Ovis aries: one gene and its partners. The protein of the gene in region 4 purifies or fractionates together with the protein of the main gene of each other region. This does not show direct contact. Links are inferred from orthologs where the notes say so. Each region holds a gene or a part of one and is shown on either strand. Other genes may lie near its edges.

Evidence for each region.
Region 1: the proteins of ANAPC1 (region 4) and ANAPC2 fractionate together in Homo sapiens (co-fractionation; 8 studies listed by BioGRID and IntAct, with this or other methods). This does not show direct contact. The link is inferred for Ovis aries from reciprocal best matches to the Homo sapiens genes ANAPC1 and ANAPC2.
Region 2: the proteins of ANAPC1 (region 4) and CDC27 purify together in Homo sapiens (affinity purification with mass spectrometry; 16 studies listed by BioGRID and IntAct, with this or other methods). This does not show direct contact. The link is inferred for Ovis aries from reciprocal best matches to the Homo sapiens genes ANAPC1 and CDC27.
Region 3: the proteins of ANAPC1 (region 4) and ANAPC4 purify together in Homo sapiens (co-purification; 13 studies listed by BioGRID and IntAct, with this or other methods). This does not show direct contact. The link is inferred for Ovis aries from reciprocal best matches to the Homo sapiens genes ANAPC1 and ANAPC4.
Region 5: the proteins of ANAPC1 (region 4) and LATS2 purify together in Homo sapiens (affinity purification with mass spectrometry; 3 studies listed by BioGRID and IntAct, with this or other methods). This does not show direct contact. The link is inferred for Ovis aries from reciprocal best matches to the Homo sapiens genes ANAPC1 and LATS2.
Region 6: the proteins of ANAPC1 (region 4) and ANAPC16 purify together in Homo sapiens (co-immunoprecipitation; 5 studies listed by BioGRID and IntAct, with this or other methods). This does not show direct contact. The link is inferred for Ovis aries from reciprocal best matches to the Homo sapiens genes ANAPC1 and ANAPC16.
Region 7: the proteins of ANAPC1 (region 4) and ANAPC7 fractionate together in Homo sapiens (co-fractionation; 6 studies listed by BioGRID and IntAct, with this or other methods). This does not show direct contact. The link is inferred for Ovis aries from reciprocal best matches to the Homo sapiens genes ANAPC1 and ANAPC7.

The regions. Positions count from the first base shown.
Region 1 is NC_056056.1:755,545-759,044, forward strand, and holds the end of ANAPC2 (anaphase-promoting complex subunit 2), read left to right. Parts: intron 1-2,153; coding exon 2,154-2,283; intron 2,284-2,479; coding exon 2,480-2,715; intron 2,716-2,906; coding exon 2,907-3,119; 3' UTR 3,120-3,177; downstream 3,178-3,500. UniProt on the Homo sapiens protein: Together with the RING-H2 protein ANAPC11, constitutes the catalytic component of the anaphase promoting complex/cyclosome (APC/C), a cell cycle-regulated E3 ubiquitin ligase that controls progression through mitosis and the G1 phase of the cell cycle.
Region 2 is NC_056064.1:45,943,236-45,946,735, forward strand, and holds part of CDC27 (cell division cycle protein 27 homolog), read right to left. Parts: intron 2,754-3,500; coding exon 2,636-2,753; intron 2,506-2,635; coding exon of another isoform or gene 2,476-2,505; exon of another isoform or gene 2,444-2,475; intron 798-2,443; coding exon 669-797; intron 1-668. UniProt on the Homo sapiens protein: Component of the anaphase promoting complex/cyclosome (APC/C), a cell cycle-regulated E3 ubiquitin ligase that controls progression through mitosis and the G1 phase of the cell cycle.
Region 3 is NC_056059.1:45,520,223-45,523,722, forward strand, and holds part of ANAPC4 (anaphase-promoting complex subunit 4), read left to right. Parts: intron 1-932; coding exon 933-979; intron 980-3,039; coding exon 3,040-3,096; intron 3,097-3,422; coding exon 3,423-3,479; intron 3,480-3,500. UniProt on the Homo sapiens protein: Component of the anaphase promoting complex/cyclosome (APC/C), a cell cycle-regulated E3 ubiquitin ligase that controls progression through mitosis and the G1 phase of the cell cycle.
Region 4 is NC_056056.1:106,003,642-106,007,141, forward strand, and holds part of ANAPC1 (anaphase-promoting complex subunit 1), read right to left. Parts: intron 1,722-3,500; coding exon 1,576-1,721; intron 949-1,575; coding exon 728-948; intron 26-727; coding exon 1-25. UniProt on the Homo sapiens protein: Component of the anaphase promoting complex/cyclosome (APC/C), a cell cycle-regulated E3 ubiquitin ligase that controls progression through mitosis and the G1 phase of the cell cycle.
Region 5 is NC_056063.1:35,927,234-35,931,425, reverse strand, and holds the end of LATS2 (serine/threonine-protein kinase LATS2), read right to left. Parts: intron 2,672-4,192; coding exon 2,174-2,671; 3' UTR 501-2,173; downstream 1-500. UniProt on the Homo sapiens protein: Negative regulator of YAP1 in the Hippo signaling pathway that plays a pivotal role in organ size control and tumor suppression by restricting proliferation and promoting apoptosis.
Region 6 is NC_056078.1:27,529,570-27,533,069, forward strand, and holds part of ANAPC16 (anaphase-promoting complex subunit 16), read left to right. Parts: intron 1-1,901; coding exon 1,902-1,976; intron 1,977-2,888; coding exon 2,889-3,004; 3' UTR 3,005-3,500. UniProt on the Homo sapiens protein: Component of the anaphase promoting complex/cyclosome (APC/C), a cell cycle-regulated E3 ubiquitin ligase that controls progression through mitosis and the G1 phase of the cell cycle.
Region 7 is NC_056070.1:54,330,491-54,333,990, forward strand, and holds part of ANAPC7 (anaphase-promoting complex subunit 7), read right to left. Parts: intron 2,152-3,500; coding exon 2,032-2,151; intron 562-2,031; coding exon of another isoform or gene 522-561; intron 458-521; exon of another isoform or gene 299-457; intron 1-298. UniProt on the Homo sapiens protein: Component of the anaphase promoting complex/cyclosome (APC/C), a cell cycle-regulated E3 ubiquitin ligase that controls progression through mitosis and the G1 phase of the cell cycle.

The DNA of each region.
Region 1 (3,500 bases), about 110 Mb from region 4:
AGGACACCCGCTGTGTCCCCTCCATGGGCGTCTCCAGGGGGTCTCCTGGCTTCTCTTGGGGTGTTCGGCGGCTCCTCTGGGTTTGCTGTGAGCCGGTGCTGGGGCGGGCTGGGTTAAGGCTGAGGACGTGAGGTCCTGAGTGGGGAGAGGCTCAGCGCCGGAGACCTGATCCTAGGGTCTTCCTTCCAGAGCCAGGGGAGGGCGGCGGGGGGCGGGGTCCTGGAGCCCGCCTGTGCTCCCCGACTCAGCCCCACACACCCCTTCCTGGCTAAAGACATCTGAGGGGCCCTCCCCAGCCTCCCTCTATGCCCCAGCGCGCCTATCAGGAGAGGCCCTGCCAGCTTCCTCTGGGGCGTCCCCCTGGGTCTGAAGGTGGACTCAGACACGGCCCCCTTCTCAGGTTGGTGCGTCCTCCAGCTGGGTGCTGGGGCACCTGGGGGGCTTCTGCTCCCTGCAGTGGGTCTCCTGCCCGAGGCCAGCGCCGCACACACTGGGGTGGCCATGGCCTCTGCTGCAGACCCAAGTTGGGGTTGAAAAGGTCACGGTTCCGAGCCGCAGCGCCTGGTTAGGACCTGGCCAGCTGCCGACCGTGGAGAGCTTCAGCGTCACGCCCCCTTCAGAGCCGTGGGGGCTGCATTACTCGGGAGCAGCGCTTGGCCCAGAGACACCCTACCGGTGTCCCCGGTGGCGGCCGTAACAAAGATGACAGACAAGTGCCTTGAACATGACAGCCATTTTCTCAGTTGCAGCAGCTGTCGAGCATCTGTGATGCCAACAGAAACTCAGGTCAGGGTGTCGGCAGGGTGTGCCCCCCACAGGCTCCGGGAGGGGTGTCGGCAGGGCGTGCCCCCCCACAGGCTCCGGGAGGGGTGTCGGCAGGGCGTGCCCCCCCACAGGCTCTGGGAGGGGTGTCGGCAGGGCGTGCCCCCCCACAGGCTCCGGGAGGGGCGTCGGCCTCACGGTGGCTCCTGGCTGTGGTGCCCCACTCTGGCCCTGGCTCGTGTTACCCGGCCTCTCCCAGGGTCTGTGTGCAGAGTCCCCTCTTCCTCCGAGGACCCCAGGCCCCGCTCCGCGTGACCGCACCTTGACAAGCTGCCTTTAGGGACCCAGGCCAGCACCCCTGCCCTGCTGCTGAGGCCTAAGCCTGTGTGGGCATCCACGCAGGTCTCAGCGTCCAGTGCCCGGACCAGGGCGCCCACGCCTCTCCTGGGCCCCCCATGCCGGTCCCGGGACTGGCTGGCTGATGTGGCTTTGACACAGCTCACCTCTCAGGCCCCGCGGGCTCTGCCACAGAGTGCGTGGAGTGGTGCGTTCCTTTGGGCTCACCCGTCCTCGGTTTCCCCCTCGTTTCACACGAGCAGTGAGGAAGCTGCAGGCTGCTCCTCCTACGCTTCACGTGAAATCTCAGCCCAGCGCCCCGCACCTCCCTCCAGCCCTGCTCGCCCCAGTGGAGCTCATCTCTGCCGCTCCTTCAGCGGTCGCCTTGCAGTCGTGTCCAGCAGCGCTGCGACAGGCCTCACCGGAAGGGGCCTTGGGGTCAGGTTTCCCCCGGTCGTCTCCCCAGGGCAACCCCAGCTTTCACGAGCACGCAGCTCAGAAGGTTCCAAGTCCTCCCCTCCCCCAGCGCCGCAGCCATAGGCACGTTTCTGGGAAAGGTGCTTGCTCCAGCATCATGCTCCACCCGCACTGAAGTCCACCGCCGCTCTGCGGTGGCCGTGACAAAGCCTGCTCGCCAGGTGGCAGAGTGGTACAACCTGCTCCTGGCCCTGCAGGCCGGGTCTGTGGTGGAGGGCTGGGCGGGGCTGCGGGCCCGTGTCTGCGTACCACCCACCCTCTGACAGGTACACTGGTCTACTAGGCTAGGGTCCGCGTCGCTCCCAGACCTTGTCTTCCCTACCGATATCCACAGGTCAGGTCACGGTCTGAGATCCTGGGATCAAGAAGTGGGCGTGTCTCGGAGGGACACGTGGCCTTGCTGCTGGGTTCTGCTTGCTGAGGGCGGGAGCTGGGAGCCCACCGGGCGCTGGTGTGGCTGCCACTGCAGCTGTTACCCGCCGGGTCGGGATGGGAGCCGTTTCCCGCCTGCTCCCAGGCTGTAAAGCCTGGTTCAGCGGGACCCGCCGAACGGCCCGCGCTGACCCTGTCTTCCCCAGGCCATGCGGACGCTCAGCTGGAAGCACACCCTGGGCTTGGTGACAATGGACGTGGAGCTGGCTGACCGCACCCTGTCCGTGGCGGTGACCCCGGTGCAGGCTGTGGTCTTGCTGTATTTCCAGGACCAAGGTGAGCTCCCCAGCTGCGCCCCACCCCGCTTCGGCCACACCCCCAGGAGAACACGGCCTGTCTCCCGAGGAGGGCGGGCGGGCCCGGGCGGCTCCCCGCCCCCGGCCCCTCCCCCAGGTCCTGCCCGTCCCGCTGAGCTGGGCCCGTGAGGGGCACGGCGGAGCTCGCCCGCCCACGCCCCGCCGCCTGCCCGCAGCCAGCTGGGGCCTGGAGGAGCTGAGCGAGGCGGTGAAGATGCCGGCCGCGCTGCTGCGGCGCCGCCTGTCCGTGTGGCTGCAGCAGGGCGTGCTGCGCGAGGAGCCGGCCGGCACCTTCTCGGTAGTGGAGGAAGAGCGGCCGCAGGACCGGGACAACATGGTGCTGGTCGACAGCGACGACGAGAGCGACTCGGGCCTGGCCTCGCAAGCCGACCAGAAGGAGGAGGAGCTGCTGGTGCGCCCTGCCCGCCGCGGGGGCGGGGCGGGCGCCGGGGGGCGGGGCGGGCGCCGGGGGGCGGGGCGGGCGCCGGGGGGCGGGGCGGGCGCCGGGGGGCGGGGCGGGCGCCGGGGGGCGGGGCGGGCGCCGGGGGGCGGGGCGGGCGCCGGGGGGCGGGGCGGCCGACCTGACCGCGGCGGTTCCCGCAGCTCTTCTGGACGTACATCCAGGCTATGCTGACCAACCTGGAGAGCCTGTCGCTGGAGCGCATCTTCAGCATGCTGCGCATGTTCGTGGTCTCCGGCCCCGCGCTGGCCGAGATCGACCTGCAGGAGCTCCAGGGCTTCCTGCAGAGGAAGGTGCGCGACCAGCAGCTCGTCTACTCCGCCGGCGTCTACCGCCTGCCCAAGAGTTGTGGCTGAGCCGCCACCGGGCCTTGCCCGCCCCCCGCCAGAATGCGAGTAAAGAGATGGTTCTTCATTCTCCGTGTCGTGTCGGCTCTGTGGCCCCAGGGTGGGCGTGTGCGCCAGTTCTGCACACTGGCCTCCCCGCATCCAGGCACCGTGGGGCCCCCCAGCAGGTGGGGCTGCACCCCTGTGTGGGCTCCAGGCCGGCAGGAGTCCCGGCACGTGAGCGTCCAGTCACCGTGGCTAGCGAAAACCCACGTCAGGCTCGTGGCTCCAGCTAACGAGGGGCCAGCCACCTGGGAAACAGACCTCTTGGATCTCCACCCAAGGGCCCCCAGCCTTGGCCTCACCCCTCTGGCCCTTGGGAGAACTCTGGTTCCCCTCCCTCTACTCTGC
Region 2 (3,500 bases), on a different chromosome or scaffold from region 4:
CAAAAACAGGAAAACAAATCCTGAATTACAATTATAGTAAACTTCAAAGAGCGAGTTAAAAATTGTTAAATGTTTATTAGATTTAAAGGACATTGCATTGGAGAAGGAAATGGCAACCCAATCCAGTGTTCTTGCCTGGAGAATCCCAGGGATGGGGGAGCCTGGTGGGCTGCCATCTATGGGGTCACACAGAGTCAGACACAACTGAAGTAACTTAGCAGCAGCAGGGAAGTACTAGATGGTAAGCTATTCAAAGGCAGGAAATATGGTTGCTTCAATTGCCACTATATTCCTAGTGTCTGACATATATTAATAATAGGTATTCAAATAAATACTTGTTGAATAATGCACATATATTCATTTATTCTGTTCATATATTTTGGTCCTAATACAATGGTTTAGGTTTTACATTTAAGGTAACTGCCTTTCCCTATAGGAAATCTTGTTAAAGGATAAACTTCTATTCCTAACTATATACACACATCCATCCTTCCTGTATTTCATGAAGAAATATAGGCAAAAAAGAAATAGCTTTTAAAAATGGGGAAATAAACTACTTAAGACAAAAATTCAAGTATAAATAACTTTTAGTTTATTTAAAAAGTGGCAAAGCTTAAATAGTACTATGTTGAAGACTCTTAAGATACGCACATATATATGTATCTTACCTTATATTTTTCATTTGCAAATAAAACTGAGGCTCTGTGAAATTTGCATAGAGGGTTCTTAGGATCAATAACAATGGCTTTGTTTAGGGTATCCAAAGCCTTCTCAGATTTCTTCAGTGCATGCTGAACCTATAAGAAATAAAGATCCTATTAATGTTTTCTTTTGATACTTATGAGGAAAAGTAAAAACCAAATAGTGTGACTCAAAAACAACACAGCTCCCAATTCACCATTACTCTCCATAATGATAATCAGATTCTATCTTTAGAGTAGATATTTGGTTACCTTTAAGCCTAAAAGACAAGGAAAACCTTAGTCTTTCTTCACAAGAAAATCTGTACTATTTTGTTAGATAATACATTTTAACAGACTTATTATGGTCCTCTAAATATTAGACTTCTCAAAAGTTTTCAAGAACCCCTAAAAGCTCTGGCTCTGAAACTTACCAACCTTGTTTTACTCAGAACAATTACACTTTTACCTATTTTAGGAATTTGTTTTAAAAATAATTCTTCTGCTTTACATATCTGAAAAGCATTGATCTGTAATTCTGGGTGGTAGGTAATTTATTTGAAATAACTTAAAAAAACAAAAACAAAAGCAAACCCAACCAAGTCTTATTATTTATTCATGTGTACTCATATTGCTATGTTCATTCTTAGATGAATTATATATTAAAACTAAATTTGAACAGGCTCAGAGACATAGAAAACAAACTGATAGTTACAAAAGGGGAAAGGGGGTTGAAGGAGGGATAAATTAGGAATTTAGGATTAATAGACACAGACAACTATATACAAACTACATGAACAACAAGGACCTACTATACAGCACAAGGAACTATATTCAATATCTCATAATAACCTATAATGGGAAAGAAATTTGAAAATGAATATATATGTATATATAACTGAATCACCTTGCTGAAACTCTGAAACTAACACAACACTGTAAATCAACTATACTCCAAAAAAAAAAAAAAAACAGGGAAACTATAGCAGAGAAGTAACCTTTCCAGGTCTTAGAACCCACAGATTACAAAATGCTGGACTATGGCCTTTAAGAAAGCCTGCTTTAAAAATGTTCAACTTCACTAAAAGGCAGCAAGAGATACTCAAGTTTGGTTTAAGTAAAGTGACGGAAAAAAAAAATCTTTGACGTATTTTCCCTATATTTTTTGTACAGTATCTAACTGTAAAAGTTACCATGTCAATTCTTAAGAAAATCATTATAAAGAGCTAGAATTCTGCCCCCAAAATGAATAGTGAAATTCCACACTTATATAATTTTCCTTATACTGTATGCTTGTTCCCACAAAGGTCAAACTTGCAAAGAGAAAGAAAAGAGGGACGGAAAGAGGGAGAAGGAAGAATGGTGAAAGGACAAGAACAAGAACTCAAAAAAATGTTCCAAGCTTTCAGAGAAATTAGTAAGTAAGATTTTAAAAAACAAACGTACCTGTTCTCTTATCCTATCAAAGTACAACTTATTATCACATACAGTAAGAAAAATATAAAATTAACCATTCTCACCACTTTATAAGAATTTTAATTAGTTCTGACATATCTATACCACTCAGAGGCTAAAATACAGGGAATCATTTAAAATCACTTAAATTATTAATTATTTAATTTAGGAGTTAAATACTAACACGGAAAACTGCCTTCAAAAATATCAAGTATCTCATATTAGTGTTATAATAACCCTATGAGGTAGGCAAGATGGTATCATTTGTCATTCACAAAATAGAAGCTCAGAGAAATTAAGTAACTTGCCCAAGGAATGAGGGTACTCCAGTGATTTCTCTTTATGCCAAGCAAAAAGGCGATATTTTTGGCTGTAAAAGAATCCAGGATATTGTTTCAAGAATAACAATAACAAAACCCCCTAATTTTTATTACAGCAACTAAGCCAATAACAAACATTCTAAAAGGGATTAACTGAACAATACTTAGAAAGCTACTTACTACTCCAATGTGGCAAAGCAAAACTGAACTTTGAGGGTTGATGTCAAGTGCTTTCTGGAAATGCATTTCTGCAAGGCTGAATTTTTCTTGCTTGTAATAAATCATTCCTAAACCATACCTGAGAGTTTAAAATAAAATACAATTTTAAGGATATGAAATGCTAATTTAGTTTAGCTAATAAAAGGATATGTATGGAATGTGGCATTTTAATAAACCAGTAGAAAAATACTGCTAGTCTTAGGGTAGGCAAAATCTAACATGATATAAAACTGCCCAAGTGTTTTAGACAAGTCACTTTTATAAGTAAAAACAATCCAGTCAATCAAACAGCCAATCAAATAAAACTATAACAACTAGAAAAAAAGAAACCACATCCTTAGACCTACCACTACAATCTAGATTTAATAGCTAATTTTTACTGAGCGATTATCATGTGTCTGCCAATAATTTTATTAAATTCTTTGTTTGATTTACCTTATTTAATCCTAGATGGAACCAAGGAGATAGGCACTATTATCAATCACATTTTAAAATAAAACCAGTCCATTCTAAAGAGGATCAGTCCTGGGTGTTCAAGGACTGATGCTAAAGCTGAAACTCGAATACTCTGGCCACCTCATGCGAAGAGTTGACTCATTGGAAAAGACTCTGATGCTGGGAGGGATTGGGGCAGGGGAGAAGGGGACGACAGATGATGAGATGGCTGGATGGCATCACCGACTTGATGGACATGAGTTTGAGTAAACTCCGGGAGTTGGTGACGGACAGGGAGGCCTGGTGTGCTGCAATTCACGGGGTCGCAAAGAGTCGGACATGACAGCGACTGAACTGAACTGAGCTGAACTGAAGGGTGGGTAAAGAATCA
Region 3 (3,500 bases), on a different chromosome or scaffold from region 4:
TGGAGACCTAACTGTAACTGGATGCTGCCACCAGTTAGCGCTCTAACCCTGCTTTGCTCTTTTGTAAACTGCAGTCTCCATGAAGGCAGGGATTTATTTATACTGCTTTGTTCCCAGTACCTGTATTATGCTCAGTAAGTAATTTTTGAATGGATAAATGAATGAATGGAACTAGATTATGGCTGGGTTGTTTTTTTTTTCAGATAAATTAGAAGTCTGAATTAATTAAGAACAGTTTCCTAAAATAACCCTATTTGCAGAATCATGCCTAACATGCTTTTTCCTGACCAAACACAAGAAGCATATTCAAACGCTATGCAAAACACATGCAATATATTTCTTCACTGAGGTGGATGTAATATGTATATAAAATACAGTATTGATGAAGACACCCCATGAAAGGACAAAAAGGGTCCACCACAAATATTAAAGAAGGTATATAAATACATATATACACATATATAAGTGTGTGTATACACACATAAATCTTAGTGCAAGCATCTTCATGTGGCAGAAAAGCCCAAGGGGAAGAACACATCTGTTTGGCATTCTAAGGCTTTTGGAGGAAAGAAAGAATTGCCTGCACATTTTAAGAGAAGAAACATGACTAAGTTAGGAGGGATTCCTGCACACACAGTCTTTGCTAAAGGCAGCAGTTCGGTTTGTTTGTCTGGAGTGGCAATGGGTTGTATTAAAGGAGAAAAGGAAAAATGGTTTAAGATGGCTATACCAACCATTTTGAGCCTAAGAATATAAATCAAATTCTTCACTCTGTAGTTCTTAGAAGAAAAATAAGTTTTCCTTGGTGACAAGAAGCTGTTAAAACTAGAAAATGTAGTCCAGTGAAATACATTTAGACGTGAAATGCATCTATAATTCAAATTATGTTTGGAGTTTCCCTTTAAAGATAGTTTTAAACTTTATATTTTCAGCAATGTTGAGAATGACAGAAGACCATGTACTTCCCGAACTGAACAAGGTAGTATATAATAGTATTTTTCCTATATGTGTTAGTGTTGCCCTGGTTGAGCTCATCTGTGCTGGTCATCTTAGTAGTAAGATGCAGTTATTGTTAAGAGATGTTAGGCTGTAGGCACAAGAGAGATCCTAGTAAGCCCTTTTTAAAATTTGCATGTTTGATATTTTTTATCTCACAGAATGCTAGACTATGGCTAAGCTTATCATTTTCATGTTTGTATAAGATCTCAGAGTCTGTATAACATAGGGTATTTGGATTCCTTTTTTTAACTTCCTAAAATCTTAAATGCATTTTTATTTTCCTTGGAAGTCTTGTATGTAGATATTAGTACCTATGTTCATGTCTGGTGAGTACCAGTTTCTTTTTGACTGTAATAAGGATTATGACAAGTAGCAATGAAATCTCCTTCTCAGAATATCTTACAGAATAGGGCAGAATTCCCTTTTGGTTCCTGCAGCTCACTCATCCTCACCCCTCCCCAAACTGTGATTCAGGTAGATTAGGTGGTTTTAAGCCTGAAAAAATGGGGAGTATTAAAATTAGTCTTAGTGGACCAGATAAGTAAGGGATCACAGCTTTTATAGGAAGTAGATCTTCTGTGCTGTATGACTGGCCTTGCAAACCAGGGATGTTTGCATTAGCTATTTCTCTGCCATCACTCTTACCTTTACTTTGGGAGATTCAGTATGTTCGTTGTTGGCAGAGACCTCAATATGTAATTTTTTGAGGGCTGAAGAACTTGGATAGGGAGAAGGTGGGGGTCATTAAAAGAAGCAGAGGCCAACACTGAAGCAAGAGGTGTTCTCAGGTTGCAGCCCTTAACCTAGATTGAGGTTATCTGAACAGACGTCCTCCACTCCCAAAGGAGAGACTCCACACTCATTCTTCAGTTCATTTGCTCAGTCATGTCCAACTCTTTGTGACCCCGTGAACCACAGCATGCCAGGCCTCCCTGTCCATCACCACCTGCTGGAGTCCAGCCAAACCCATGTCCATTGAGTTGGTGATGTCATCCAACCATCTCATCCTCTGTCGTCCCCTTCTCCTCCTGCCTTCAATCTTTCCCAGCTTCAGGGTCTTTTCCAGTGAGTCAGCTCTTTGTATCAGGTGGCCAAAGTATTGGAGTTTCAGCTTCAACATTAGTCCTTCCAATGAATATTCAGGACTGATCTCCTTTAAGATGGACTGGTTGGATCTCCTTGCAGTCCAGGGGACTCTCAAGAGTCTTCTCCAACACCATAGTTCAGAATCATCATTTCTTCGGCGCTCAGCTTTCTTTATAGTCCAACTCTCACATCCATACATGACTACTGGAAAAACCATAGCCTTGACTAGACAGACCTTTGTTAGCAAGTAATGTCTCTGCTTTTTAATATGATCTCTAGGTTGGTCATAATTTGCCTTCCAAGGAGTAAGCATCTTTTAATTTCATGGCTGCAGTCACTATCTGCAGTGATTTTGGAGCCCCCCAAAGTAAAGTCAGCCACTGTTTCCATTGTTTCCCCATCTGTTTCCCATGAAGTGATGGGACCAGATGCGATGATCTTTGTTTTCTGAATTTTGAGCATTAAGCCAACTTTTTCACTCTCCTCTTTCACTTTCATAAAGAGGCTCTTTAGTTCCTCTTCACTTTCTGCCATAAGGGTGGTGTAATCTGCATATCTGAGGTTATTGATATTTCTCCCGGCAGTCTTGACTCCAGCTTGTGCTTCCTCCAGCCCAGCATTTCTCGTGATGTACTCTGCATAGAAGTTAAATAAGCAGGGTGACAATATACTGCCTTGACGTACTCCTTTTCCTATTTGGAACCAGTCTGTTGTTCCATGTTCAGTTCTAACTGTTTCTTCCTGACCTGCACACAGGTTTCTCAGTCTTAGCTTTAGGCATAAAATAATAAATAGCCTTAGACCGTAAAGAGATCTGTAGCTGTTGGAGTTGCTGATTGGAAAATGGGTTTAAAATAATTACATGCTTGTCACATTTATTGTTACATAATTTTTTATTAAGAAGCTTTTCTTTATCTTGATTTGTTTTATTTTTGTTCCTTTTGGATTTGATAGATGACTCAGAAAGATATCACATTTGTTGCTGAATTTCTTACTGAACATTTCAATGAGGTAGGAAATTGGCATTTCTATAGTGCTTTTTCAACAATAATTACAGTAAATCTGGATAATGGTAAGTAATCAAATTTAATCCAGTTTAAGCAACCTTCTAGCAATTATGTATGCTTTTTCAACTATTGAACTAATGAATGACAGTACTTATTTATTAAATGTAAAGCATATAAATTGAACTTTGTGTTTGTGTCTTACCATCCACAAAAGAAAAGAGTAACTGCTACTAACAGCTTTCTTGAGAAGTAGAGTTTTTGGTTAAAATGTAAGATTTTTTTTTCTTTAATGAGTTGATTTAAGAATTAAACTTTATTTATTCTTTCTAGGCTCCAGATCTTTATAATCGAAAAGGAAAATACTTTAACGTTGAAAAAGTTGGTCAGGTATGGGCTCTGGATTGAATC
Region 4 (3,500 bases):
TCCTAAGGCAGGGGAATGCGCACGACTGCAAAACAAACAGAGAGAAGAGGGCACCATGAGTAACAATGCAGGCTGACACGGCGCACTCTCCAACAGAGCTTTCCAACCCTATGTACTCTTGCAAGCATTCAGGCAGAAACCCAGTCAGAAATACAATTAAAAAACAAAAAAAGGAACAGCTACTTACACGGCTTGTTAACACGCTTTATTATAGTCTAAAGATTTAGAACTCCTGCTGGAGTAACTCTTTTTTTAACTGAAAATCAGTTCATCTTCTGCCTCAGAAAAGGAATCGCTTAGATTATTCAAAAGAGTCTAAACTATGTTCTTAGGTACTCAGACATACACATATGAACAAAACCCAGATTATATAGATACTAATAAAAACCAAAGCTACAGCAAACTAAGCCAAAAGAAAATAGTACCAAAATATCTCTAGAATTAACATTCACCAAACTGCTGCCAAGGAGTGGTAACAATGCGGCACTCTTAACAACAAGAATTGGCAGCTTCTAAATATGACTCACTGGCAAGGCAACACAGTAGGCCTGGAATCTTGGTAAAAGTAGCTTAATGGGCATACTGCTTTTTTTTCTAAAAGGTACTCAGGAGCTGTCAAGAGAAATTTTAAATGCTCCCAATCACAACAGAAAGTTTAAAAAGAAGGTATCTTTTTCTTGAGACTTCTTGTTTAAAACAAGGAAACACGGCCACACTGAAGTCCCACCTGAGAGCTGCCATGTTGGAAATGGAAGGTGAACGGGAGTGCAGGCTGGGCGAGGAGGCGGAGCGGCTCTGGCTGTGGATGGAGGAGTAGTTCTGGAAGGGGGACGCCACGGGGGAGTCGCCCTTGGAGAGGCTTCTGAGGTGTGCTGTGAGCGAGCTGCTAGTAGCCACGTTCTGGGGGGTGGCCCCCTGTTCAGAGAACTTTAAAACAGCATTGCCTTCCTTAAGTCAAAATGAAGGGGGACGGGGAGATAATAATTAGATTAGGAGGGCATTTTCCTTGCAGGGTAGTTGCCAGTTATTAAAGAGAAAACATCTTTTTTCCTAAGATTCTCAATTTATTTCACAATTGAGTCTTCTAAAAACATACAAATATCACACGTTAACACACATATATGGAGTATAGAAAGGTGGTGTGCTGCTGGTGAGTCTATTTACAGGGCGGCAGTGGAGACGCAGGCATGGGACAGCCTGCGGACACAGCGGGGGAAGCGGGGCGGGGGGCGGGTGGAGAGAGGAGCATGGAACATACACGCTGCCACACGTAAAACAGAGCCCGTGGGGGCCTGCTGTGCGACTCAGGGAGCTCACACTGGGGCTCTGTGACAACCTAGGGGGCGGGCTGGGGTGGGAGGAGGGAGGCAGGTTCAAGGGGGAGGGGACATATGTATGCCTACGGCTGGTTCATACTGAGGTATGGCAGAAACCGAGAGAATGCTATAAAGCAATTATCCTCCAATCAAAAATAAATTTTTAAAATAATTTTTAATGAGTGGTAAAAAAAAAATATGCAGGTTTTCAGCATTAACTATCTTTTTCTGTTAAGAAATGACTTGCCTTCACCCTTACCTCTGGTTTGACTCTCCGGAGAGCCCACACAGAATGCAGACCTTGAACAGTGTCATAGGTCATGACAATGGAGGGATCGGTGTGGAGAAAGACAATTTTCATCGCATGGTCTACAACATACTGTACCCGTGATGAACCAAAAAGACCTTAAAGATAAAACAGAAATAATCAAGTATAGGACAATGGGCTTCACAAGACTGTTTATGAAGTGACTTCTTGCAATTCCTAAAGACATAGAGAAATGAAGGTTAATTAAGGCATAAAATCCATTAATCTATTAATATGACATAATTAACTCTCCATTTTTAATACATCTACTTTGGGCATCAATTTCTTCAAACATATTAAAGGTGAGAATGTTATGAGCTTTTATATCACACACATGTACTTAAATGTTAATGAAGTTAAGCCATTAAACTCATCAACCACAGGTAAAAGGTCCATGATTCCTTCAATGACTGACTTATTCATAAATTTTAATCAACTATTCTGCCAAATCTGACTTCCTTAGTGGTTCTTTTCTTTTGTATGAAATCTGTCCTCTATGGTAACCATTCAAACAGTGCTGAACAATACACTACTGTTTCTGTTTTACTGGAAAGACAGGCAAAAATAAGTTTTTTCCTAGTGAGTTCAGCTTTTACATCTATAGTACCGCAAACAAGTTCCTATTTCCTTATTTGACAGTTTCTGAAATGTTTTCCTCTCAATTAAAATATTTTAAAAATTTAAAAGAATTGGGTTATAAAATTAAGAAGTACATTATAAAGAAAGAAAAATCACTCATAATTCCACTCAAAATAACTATTACTAAAATATTTAGGCACATTCCTCCTAGTTTTGTTTTCCTATACAAACATATTTTTTGTTCTTACAAAATTAGAATCATATTGCATTTAGTTCTGTACCTTACTTAACATGAATAAGCAATTCCTGAGATTATCAAATATTATTCAAAAACATGAGCAATAATGGCTGCATACCATTCAACCATTTGCTCTGACATGTGTGCTTAGGTTGTTTGTAGTTGTTAGCAGTATAATATAGAATAACCAACAAACTTTTTCTGTGTAAGACCAAAGAGTAAATAGTTTAGGCTTTGCAGACCACAAACTGACTCGGTAGCGTAATTTAGTTCGTTTTTTCCTACAACCTTTTTAAAAGGCTGAAACCACTCTTAGCTCATAACGCTTAGGAAAATAAGCTAGATCTATCTGTAGTTTGCCAAGCCCTGATAGAGAAGATAAACATCTCAGTGGTATTTCAGAATATATACTTGGGACTATGTCCTTAAAACTGGTTAAAGAACGTAATTTTTTTTTTTTAGCCTTCAAGTATCATTACTCATAATAATCTATGTTTGGTCACATTTAAAATTTTAAACTAAGCATCTAGAAATACGTCTAGAAAATATTAAAAAATTGAGCCCCAGAAAATTATATTATGAGCAGGGTAAGTGAAATATTAAAATTTACACCATAAAGGTCTAAGGCCCTCCATTTCTTTTTTCCAGAGAAAAGAAACAATTTTAGTTTATCTAAGTACTGTTCATTTATTATTAATTACTGAGAAACAGAGTACAGAGTCATCTACAGGTAAGTTAGAAAATCTATCACTATTCCTGGCTTTTTTTTTTTAAATACTTATTTGATTGTACTAAGTCTTAGCTGCTGCATGTGGGATCTAGTTCCCTGACCAGGGATTGAACTCAGGGCTTCTGCGTTGGGAGTGCGGAGTTTTAGCCACTGGACCACCAGGGACGTCCCCTGGCTCTATTTTTACTGAAAGAAGAGTTGTTTAAAGTCAATACCAGGATATTCAATGAAGTAATTAATATGAATTATTTTCATAATTTTTTTTAATGCTTAAATTATTTTACCTTTATAAAACAAATCAAATTTTCATAACCTCCTTTATGTCCTCCC
Region 5 (4,192 bases), on a different chromosome or scaffold from region 4:
ACATAAGTGGAACCCTGTCTCCACAAGGACAGGGTCTGAGATGGCCTGGTGGAGTGGGGACTGCCCAGTGGTGACCACATGACTGCACCTTTCAAAAGAACAATTCAGAATCAAATGTTGACAGCTTCTGGAGCTCTTAATACCATTGACCATTCTGAAGCAAAGGTAGGGTGTTATCCTTGTACTGTCAGTGTGACTAGTCTTAAGCAGGGCAATTCGGCTCCCACTCAAGATCTATCTGACAGCCCACTGACCCCACTCAGCAATCTAACGCCAAACACCCGTCACCACCTTCAGGAAGAAAAGAAAGCTGATCGCAGAACCGCACCCGGACTTGGACCCTGTGCTGTGACCTGAAACCCAATCTCCAAATCCCAGACCAAACCAAGACAAGAGCTCTTCTCCCTTGCAATGGCAGCCCCCGCTGTGTTTGAATCATGGGGAAAGCACACGAGACAACCAAGAACTTACAAATTTCAATAAAATTTGACACCTAGGGATTTGGATTCAAACTTTTAATAATAAATTGTGCCAGTAGAAGCTTTTCAAAGGCAATGATATATCAATAAATAATAGTTAAATTGAGTTCCTGAGAAAGAACCTACCACATGAAGGCTGTAAGAGTGTAAATAACAACACGGCGTTACTGCAAAACTAGAGAAACACTGACAGTCACGACACAGCACAGCAGACTCAGAACCTGCCACTCATACACATGTAAACCAGTACACAGGAATCTTCTTCTTCAGTTTAGACATCCACAGACACGTGAGTGTTGCTGCCTAGAGATACACTAAGTAATGGATACGTTATGCTAAAAACTTCAAGGAAAAATATGTGAATATAACAAAAAATATGATGCACCAGGTTTTTAAAAAGCAAAAAAGAAATTTAACTTTTTATTCAAATATAAATCACTTTAAATAGGAATCATACTAATTTGAAATAGGAATATTTTGTGTGTTTATCTATATAGTTATATATACATCTATACTCCTAAGAAAATATGTATGGCTTAATTATCTTTTTTTTCCCCTCCAACATCACACTGAATAGTCCTTGCTGTTTCACAAAGATTAGAAAAATGTGCTTTTAAAACTGAGTTTAGTTGGATCCTTCAAAGCACACTAAAAGCACTGCAGAGAGAACTCTGCACAGGTCTGCAGGGTGGGGCTCTGGCTCCCTGTGTCGGCTAGGCCACAGGACAGCATCCTGACTGGCAAGACAGACAGAGATCCATGGCTAACTTACTTTTTTAGGCAGAGCTAAGTGAATCCCTTTTGATGTACACAAGTTTAGTGTAGGACAAATGTCTTTGCCCCCTCAAAGAATCCAAGCACACCCACAACACATACAGTCACATCATCTCTCAGAAACACGTGCATTTCTGCAATGAGAGAGGAGGGGGGTGCAGTCACAGCGAGGAAGTCACTCACGACGTGGCATCAGCACTGTCCAGAACGACTCATCCAAAGACACTCAGTAAAAACGTATTCACAGAACCTGCTGTGAATGGCAAGACACGGTCACGTTATATTAATAATAGAAAAACCCTGTTCATGCTTTCTCCATACCTGATGTCTGAAGTCACACCCGCATGATCAACTGCTCACACTTTCTATGATGCTATAATATGCAAAAAGCGAACAGAACAAAACAACAAAAGCAGCTCTTAACATATATCACAATTTTGAAATGTGGGAAAAATATAAAACAAAAACTGTTGTGTGAATAAAATGGTATCAGTAACATCAGGACAGTGTTTTTTTTTTTTTAACATTATTGCACAGAGATTTCTTATCACATGTTCTTCAATCTTTATGTCTTTCCCTAATGTGAGTAAGTGCTGTGGATAAAATACAAATGTAGAAAATAACAGCAGCATGATTTGTCAAAATTAATCCCTATAATTTAATAAGAAAAATGGCTATAAACAAAATAAGTGCTCTTTCTACTGTATTGATTTAAAAAATATTGTTTTAATGTCGTGAAGGTCCTCAAAGCTAATTCCAGGCTGCGCTGACACCTCCTGCCATCCACCAGAACCTGGAGATGCAGACCTCAGAGGTGAGTCCTCTTTCAGAAGTTTTTCCGCTTTGGTTTTGGGTGCAGGCTAGACTTCGAGGGGCAACCGGCCAACTGACCTGACGGGCTGACCTCCCCGTCCACCAGTCTACACGTACACGGGCTGGCAGCCCCCGGCCTGCGCCCCCAGGGCCGGACCCACTGAAGCCGGCTGCTCAGCCTCGGTCACGGCTTCAGCCACTGCAGGCTTGGGGCACCGGAACGGGTGGCCATTGTCATCGAAGAACCTCCGGAAGGTGAACTCGTAAAAGGCATGCTCCGGGTGCCGGCTGCCCGCAGGGCCCAGCGCGTCCCAGGCTTTGGAGCTGTCCTCACTGCCGTCCTGCCAGGGGCCCTCCTCATCCACTGGGTCAAAGTTGGATGTGTCCATGGGGTGGCTGATAGTAGGCACATAGGGGGCCGGCTGCCTCCGGATGTCGCTGGAGAAGTCGATGGCACCCAGGAATGGGTGGGCCTTCAGATCATCGGCCCCGTTGCGGCCTAACCGGTGCTCAGCTGCACAGCACAGCTTGGCGATGAGGTCCCGGGCCTCAGGGCTCAGCTCCACCTGTGCAGGGATGTGCAGCGTGCTCTCCCAGTTAATCACCTGCAGGGACAACACACCCAGTGTTCCTTCCTCCTCACTCTTGAGGCCAAAGAGAGCCTTTAAGGGACAGGGTGTTAAAGAACACGATTGTTTCTCAACATCACTAATCATTAGGGGAATGCAAATCAAAACCACAGTGAGGTATCATCTCACACAAGTCAGAATGACCATCATCAAAAAGCCAACAAATAATAAAGGCTGAAGAGGGTGTATGGAGAAAAGGGAACTCCCTACATTGTTGGTGGAAATGTAAACTGGTGCACCACTCTGGAGAACAGTATGCTGCTGCTGCTGCTGCTAAGTTGCTTCAGTCGTGTCCAACTCTGTGTGACCCCACAGATGGCAGCCCACCAGGCTCCGCCATCCCTGGAATTCTCCAGGCAAGAACACTGGAGTGGGTTGCCATTCCCTTCTCCAGTCCATGAAAGTGAAAAGTGAAAGTGAAGTCGCTCAGTTGTGTCCAACTCTTGGCGACCCCATGGACTGCAGCCTACCAGGCTCCTCCATCCATGGGATTTTCCCGGCAAGAGTACTGGAGTGGGGTGCCATTGCCTTCTCCGGGAGAACAGTACAGAGGTTCCTTAAAAAACTAAAATTAGAGTTAGCATATGACCAAGCAATCTCACTCCTGGGCATAAATACAGACAAAACTCTAATTTTAAAAGATACACGCACCCCTGTGTTTATAGCAGCACTATTTAAAAAACAGCCAAGAAGCAAACTAAATGTCCATCAACAGATGAACTGATAAAAAATGTAGTCTATATAAACAATGGAATCCTACTCAGCAATAAAATAGAACAAAATAATGCCATTTGCAGCAACATAGATGAACTTAAGAGACTGTCATAGTAAGAGAACTAGGAAGACAAATACCATATATATAGCTTATAGTGGCATCTAAAATACAAAATGAACTTATTTACAAAACAGAAATAGACACACACATATAGAAAACAAAGTTATGGTTAGCAAAGGGGAGAGGGAGGGAAGGAGGAACAAATTAGAGGACTATGAGATTAACAGATACACAATACCATACATAAAACAGATAACAATGGCTGACTGGATAGCATAGAGAATTATATTCAATATCATACAATAACCTATAATGGAAAAGAATCTGTTAATATCATCTGCATCACTTTGCTCTATACTTGAAACTAATACTGTAAATCAATTATACTTCAATAAAAATAACTTTAATTTAAAAAAGATTTTGATAGTTTCACAATAGGAGAACCAAACAGACGTAGGAGGATCTGAGGCAGCTACAAATGGCCAGTGTGGTTTCAGCAGGAGCCCACAGTCTGAGGCACAGGGTAAGGGAGCCACCCCCAGACAACAGTGATCAACAACATAAACCAGCCATCCGGATGCTCTGCTAAGGGCTTATTTGCTCCTGGAGTGAGAACAAAGTAAGGTCAATGTAACTGGGAGTTGTGCGGAGGTGCAAGGGCTGGTGTGGGCTTCCCCAGTGGCCTATCAATAAAGAATCTGACTGCAATGCAGGAGACACAG
Region 6 (3,500 bases), on a different chromosome or scaffold from region 4:
GGTGCCTTTCTCAAAGATGAGCTTACGTATCCTTTTGCTTTGAAGTTCATTATCAAGGGAAATATGCAAATGTTATAATTTAAGCATTTATCCTAATAACACCTGTGATTAAATGTAAGCGGGAGGTAGCACTTTGAAGAGCTTGCAAACAAATCTTGGCCTGGTCCTTACAGCCAGAATCCCCACTGCCTTGGTGTGATATCCTCAAGTTCAGGATCAAACCACCTGAGAAGAGCTCTAATTCTGTATGCTTTGCTCTTCCTAAAATAAAACTTAAGTTATAATTTGATTCTTTAATCAAGGGTATGAATGCTGGCATACTTACACAATTTATTAGGCATAATAAATTGCATCACTGGTGTCAAATGTTCACACAGCCCCTCTTCCCATAGTTATTTTCATAGTTATTTCATAGTTATTTTCAGGCCATTTCCCTTATTTGAAAAACTCAGTAATATCATTGGCTTACCTAGATCTTTAGACTGGACAGCCAGTATAATATTCAATAGTTGAAAATTAAATTTTTGCTCAGTTTAGATGATTTAAATGAGTTACATTCTGCCAGAGGAATAGGGGTGGGAGGAGGGAATGGGATCTATCCCCATATGACACAATATTTAGAAAAGAAGTTGAATTTAAAGAATAATAAAGTCTACATAACTATATGAAATTATATTTTGACATAATATATAATATGTGTATATATTAATACATAATAATTTCATATATATTATGTATGGAATAATATTTTTGAAACAATTTTGAAGATAATAGTAGAAGCCCTCTTGGTCGTATATTTAAGCTATTTGAATATAGTATCTATGGTTTTTCTTATTTATCATGAGCTTCTGAAATAAGGTCTGCCTTGCTGTGTGAACATTTGACACCAGACCTTCATGGAAACTCACCATGAAGCCAGAATATGTTAGTCCTGTCTGCTTGTCACTTAATAGCTGGCTGACGGCAGCAACCCGTGATTGATGGGTGAGTGCTTGACATCCAGCAGTGTTGGCATGAACCACCGCCTAAAAAAAGACAGCTGTGTCCTCTCCCTTCATTTGTTTTAGAATTTCTGCAATAAGATCCCTTCCCTGAATGGTTTCTGCTACTCCTTGAAGTCACATTTTCCTACATGAGTTCTGCGTATTTAGGGGTATGTTTTGTTGTATCAGCCCTTGCCTGATAAGGAATAACATGAACTAGCTTATGTTTCACAATCATCTTCCAAGTACTGGGGTGACTGAATTAGCTACCTTCATGTATCCAGTTCTTGGCATCAGTACAATGCTAGGTTCTGAAATTGCACCATACTTTTATAACCATCCAAATTGCAGTGTTCTAGTTAAGTTGGAAAATCAAGGTTATAGTTTGCGTTTACAGAATGAAATTTCCCAGCAGTGTTTTGTGATGGTCATTGTGATATAACTTGATATACAAAATATTGACAATAGCTATTTTTCTTCAACTTTACTTTTTAGAATGAAAACAATTAAGAGTTTTGGTGTACCTTTGTATTTTGAAAGTTTGGGGCCACATGACCAAATGTGTTAGTTGTCAGTGTTTGCTTGACATACAAAATAGGAGAACATTAAGAAATTGTCAAGTTAGGATGGGAGAAGTGTTGACCAGGGCATCAGACTGGGGTTTCTTGTTTTTGTTATTTTAACACTATTTTTAAACTCTTGAACAAGTAGAGGGACTATTTTAACATTTTAGGTATAGAAGTAGCTTTTATAACACAGCAGTGTTAATTCTAAGTGAAACAGAAGCCCTTTGTAAACACTGAAAACTAGACCCTGAATGTAAAAGCAGGGAGAATGGGTGTGTTTACTACATTTATCAGAAGCCATTAGATTAAAATGGATTGGAGCAGATTAAAACTTGTCCTCTTCTGTTTCTAGATGGCTCTGAGAGATTCCTCTGTGAATCTGTTTTCAGCTATCAAGTGGCATCTACGCTCAAACAGGTGAAACATGGTAAGCATGTGAGTACTGTGTACTTAACTGTGAAAATGAACTTACTAGGAACTGGAAGGGTGGGAGAGGGGGACTTAGAAAGGTCAGAGTGCTCTGTAACAAAAACTCAGCAAGGCTGCTTAAGTGGACTTCCCAAATTGCCTGCAGATAAGAACATTCTACAGTTCTTAATCCACAGATAATGTTACATTAAGACTTAAATTTGAAGTCAAAGGGGTTAGTTTTCCAGGGGAGTTAATGCTTCCTACTCCTCTTGTATTGCTTTTTCCACTCCTTCCTGAAACCTTCTTTTCCTGTTGTCCTCCATTGTTACCACTGTCTGCATTTTCAGATATGTATGTAATACCTCTTGGTCTATCTGGATTCGAAGATCCTGGTAGCACCTTTTCTATTCTATCATGCCTCACCCGTCTTCATTTATGCATCAGGGAACTCTGTTCGACCACCAAACCAGACTATTTCTCCCCTGAGAACATAATGTTGGGGTGGGCGGGGGTAGGGGGAGCTGCAACTGCTTGTAACCCTAGGTTTTTGGCTTTTCGGGTTTGTTAGCTTTTTGTAGCATACAGGATCTTAGTTCCCCAACAAGGGATAGAACCAGTTCCCCCTGCAGTGGAAACACAGAACCTTAACTACTTGTAACCCTAGATTCTTAGGATACCAATCATAAATTTAGTACACAAATGGCATGGAGGATAAGTACTACTATTTTTTTAAGATTGTCTTAAGTAATTATCCTACAATTAAAAATAAAATGTAAATTAAAAGATTAAGTCTTCTGACAACATAGGGTAAGACCCCATTACTAGAATATTGAGGGGGGAAAATCTTTCTAGAAATTATTTTTAAATCAGTCATCATCTTGCTGCTTGGTGTATAATTAATAAATACTATCTCCTTGATTCTTTACAGATCAGCAAGTTGCTCGGATGGAAAAACTAGCTGGTTTGGTAGAAGAGCTGGAGGCAGATGAGTGGCGATTTAAACCCATTGAGCAGCTGCTGGGGTTCACACCCTCTTCAGGTTAACCTGGCCTGGATGGTCATCTCAGGTGCACAGCAAGTGCAGGTCTAGCAAGGAACTTTTCTTACAATGTATATAGCCATCCAGAGATTCACGGCTCCATCACTGAATTATTAATTCACATTCATACTTGGTTTCTCTGTATCTGTACACAAGCAACAAATTCTTAAGTGTGTGATCTTGCAGGGAAATTTTTTGCTTATTTAAAAAAGTATTGAGAATCGGATTTAGACAATCGACATCAGAGAACCAGGAAGTTTGGGTTTAAAAGAGATTTATAAAACTTCACAATCCAGGACACATGCCAGAATTGGCCAGACGAAAGACATCCCTCCTGTCATTCACACAGTTCCTAGAATCCTCACCAGTCAAGTCCAAGGTCAGGATCTGGAGTTATAAAATACATTTCTGACCTAAAACCCTTCCTTTTGCAGATGAATGTGATTTCGACTCAGGACTTGTCCAAATTAGGAATTTTTTAATGTTTGGGATTTTTTCTAT
Region 7 (3,500 bases), on a different chromosome or scaffold from region 4:
AAATTAAACTATTTTTTATTTGGCCTCAGATTTTTCATTTTAGGCTATGTTGAAATGCAAAAAAAAAAAAAAAAAAAAAGGTACTTAAAGGAAAACTCCAGTAGTGGTGTCAATACTTGAAAAAAATAAAAGAATTAAATTTAAAATCCTTTCTTGACTGCTTGTTATTAATGAACTATGACTGACGGGCCTTCTATCTCAACAAATATTAAAAATTCCCTTTAAACTACCTGACACTTTGAATTTTGAGAACTACACCTAGTTAGAAAGTCAATTCCTTTTAAAAATAGATCCTTACTTGGGGACATCATTTAAGTTGCATTCCACCAGTTATAAATATAAGCAGTCATCATTTTCTAAAAACTGAGTGACAAATTGTTTCTTGGTATGTTTCTCTTAAAAGCTGAAGATTTTCCACGACATGATAATCTCACACTGGAATTTTCCTTTAAAATGTGAAGAATGTGTGGCGGTGTTTACCATACATTAACAGACGTTCATTTAGACGTATTTTGACTCACTTCCTTGTCCTTTACACAGACTGAGAAGCCAGTTAACTCCCTAACGGACAAGAAAGAAAAACTGTAAATATTATAGGTTTATGTTGGAGGCACACATCTTTGTTTGCTCCTGGCTACAACAGCTCTATGAAGGATATGTACTCCTAATGTATGTGGACTCCTCTAGCTCTTCCTAAAATGACAGCTGTAAACACCAAAGTGTTGGATACCACAAGGCTCACGTGCTTGGCCATTACTCATTTTTAAAAATGCCCCCAAACTCCCTCAAGTCATTAAGAAGAAATTATGGAATGTTTCCAATAAGATAAGGAATAGGTATCCTTCAAAGCTTACAATCAAAGCAGCATTTTCCAAACGAAGACACCCTTCATATATACAAAAAAATTACTCTTAGGGTAAGACTTTCATAGCGTACCAGAATATAATTAAGTATACAGTGTCCAGCTTATTGTGAGATAGGTTAGTCTATAATATACTTACAAATGTTTTAAATAACAATTATCACCATAAAATATGAAGAAATAGCTTAATTTTTAAAATTCAGAAAATATTAAATAAATCTTCAACATGAGAAGATGCTTAAACATGTTCTCATCAAGTGTGATTACTTTTAAAACTCAGTAACACTTGGGTGAAAAAACACTAAATACACCTGGTCCCTACTGCTTATAATTCCTTTTCTTTTAATGGCAGGGAAGATGTGCAAAAGTTCCTATCGTTAACTACACTGCACAGTTTTTCAATGAAGAGAGGAAGGTAGGTGACATGAAAGTATGTGTTAGAATATTAAATAATGATGTGACTTCACTCCAAAGAGCTAAGATTTTCATTGTTCTTCTAAACTGGACTTCAAGAAAACCTGTATTCAGATGCCTAATACTCCTTATAGAATAATACTTTAAAAAGTATTCTCACATACATGAACTTAGTTTATACCAGAGAAAGTATTATCATCCTCAACAAGGAAAAAAGTAAAGCCAGATTTTTAACTTGCCCAAGCTCACCACACACTGCCTGTATGCCCTAAACGCAAAGGCAAGAGACTAGATCTTCTGATCTCAGTTGGAGGTGTGCTATATACTATTGTTGCCAAATAAAACACAAATAATATCCTACACACAAACACGTACAAAGAATCTTGAAGTTTTAATTCTGAAAATAAAAGGAATACACATTATCAAATGGGCATACCTACGGAATGCAAAAAATGAGATTCTTAAAAAGTACTGTTGCTACCTGGAAATATATTCAAATCATGTTTCCTACAATAAGAAAAACAAAATAATTAAACACACGTTGTACTCTCCAGCTACCATTTTCCTCGGCAGCATTTTCAGGGTCTTATAAGAAAGCCACTCCTCTCTCTAAATAAGGAGAACAGGGGAACAAAGTGGGAATAAGAGACAAGGTTTGTAAAATGTTCAGATGTAGTCCCTGAAAACACAGAGGAAGACAGCTGGAAGGACAGGGGAAGAGAAAAGTATGTAACCAAATTGTTAATTCAACTTACTTTGGGAGTTCTTTGTCTTGAAGGGATCCCATCAAGTATAGCAATGGCATCTTTATCTTGTTTTAGCATTGTATAACATTCAGCCATTTTGTATTTTACTTCAATTTCAGATGGAAGACACTTAAGAGGAAATGAAAACATCTCTTCAAAATATTACTTCAGAAGTATGGCAGTTCTTCAAAATGTTAAACATGATTACCATATGACCCAGTAATTCTGCTTCTGTGTACACAAGCCAAGAAAACTGAAAACCTATGTCCACACAAAAACCTGCACACAAATGTTCACAGCATCATTAATGATAAAAAGCAGAAACAACACAAATGCCCACCAACTAATGAACAGTTAAAATATGGCACATCCACACGATGGAATATTATTCTGCAACAAAAAGGAATACACAACTGCTTCTTTATTATGTGCCATAATATGGATCAACCTTGAAAACATACTAAGTAAAAGCAGCCAGCCACAAAAGGCCACACACTGCATGATTCCATATATAAAAGGTCCAGAATAGGTGAACCCACAGAGGCAGAAAGGTCAGTGATTTCCAGGGACTAGAGAGATAACAAGGCTTTTCTAGAGGGATGTAAACCTTCTGGAATTAGTGGTGGTGGTTGCACAATTCTGTGAAAATACTAAAACCCCTGAACTGTGAAAATTATGTTGTAAACTGTATCTCAATTTTTAAAAAACTCCTTCAAGATTAAATAAGCATAGGGCTTAGCATACTGAATGCCCCCCAAAAGTTACTTCTATGAATTATTCTGTGTGGATAATACACATGACTTCAGGGTCAGAAAACAACTCCTGGCAATCAGCTCTTTAGTAACAAAGAACAAAGGCTCTACATAAAGAGAAATAAAACAAGAAAAAAATGTACAGGCACTAAAAAAAAAAGCAATTATATTACTCTGTCTTTTTTTTTAGTGGAAAAATACAGAACATGATTTATAATTTCACTTCAGTTCATTCTGATATTCCTTTTAAATGTAAATTGTATGTACAATTTAAAGACAGGTTCAAACTGAAAGTCAAGGTTCCCCCCCTCTATAAAGTTTTGTTAATTTTCTTCACACACATATGCTAAATTTTCCATGTATATTACCCATATATATTTTAGGCATATAGCAGGATGTATGTCTATAAACTATCCCCTTCAGGGAATTCTCTGGCAGTCCAGTGGTTAGGACTCCGCACTTTCACGGCCAAGAGGGCCAGGGTGGGTTCAGGTTCAACCCCTGGTTGGGGAACCAAGATCCCACAAGTAGCAAAGTGTGGCCAAAAAAATAACTATCACCTTTAAACAGAAAGAGTAAACACACTGCTTAAAAGCTTATTTACTAATATATACAGGCCTTTCCAAATCAGCGCATACAATGCTATATTTCACTTCCTCAATATCCCATCCTAGGGCTACACTATAACTAGATCCTACTGATAAACACTTTTGCTTGTAGTTTCTT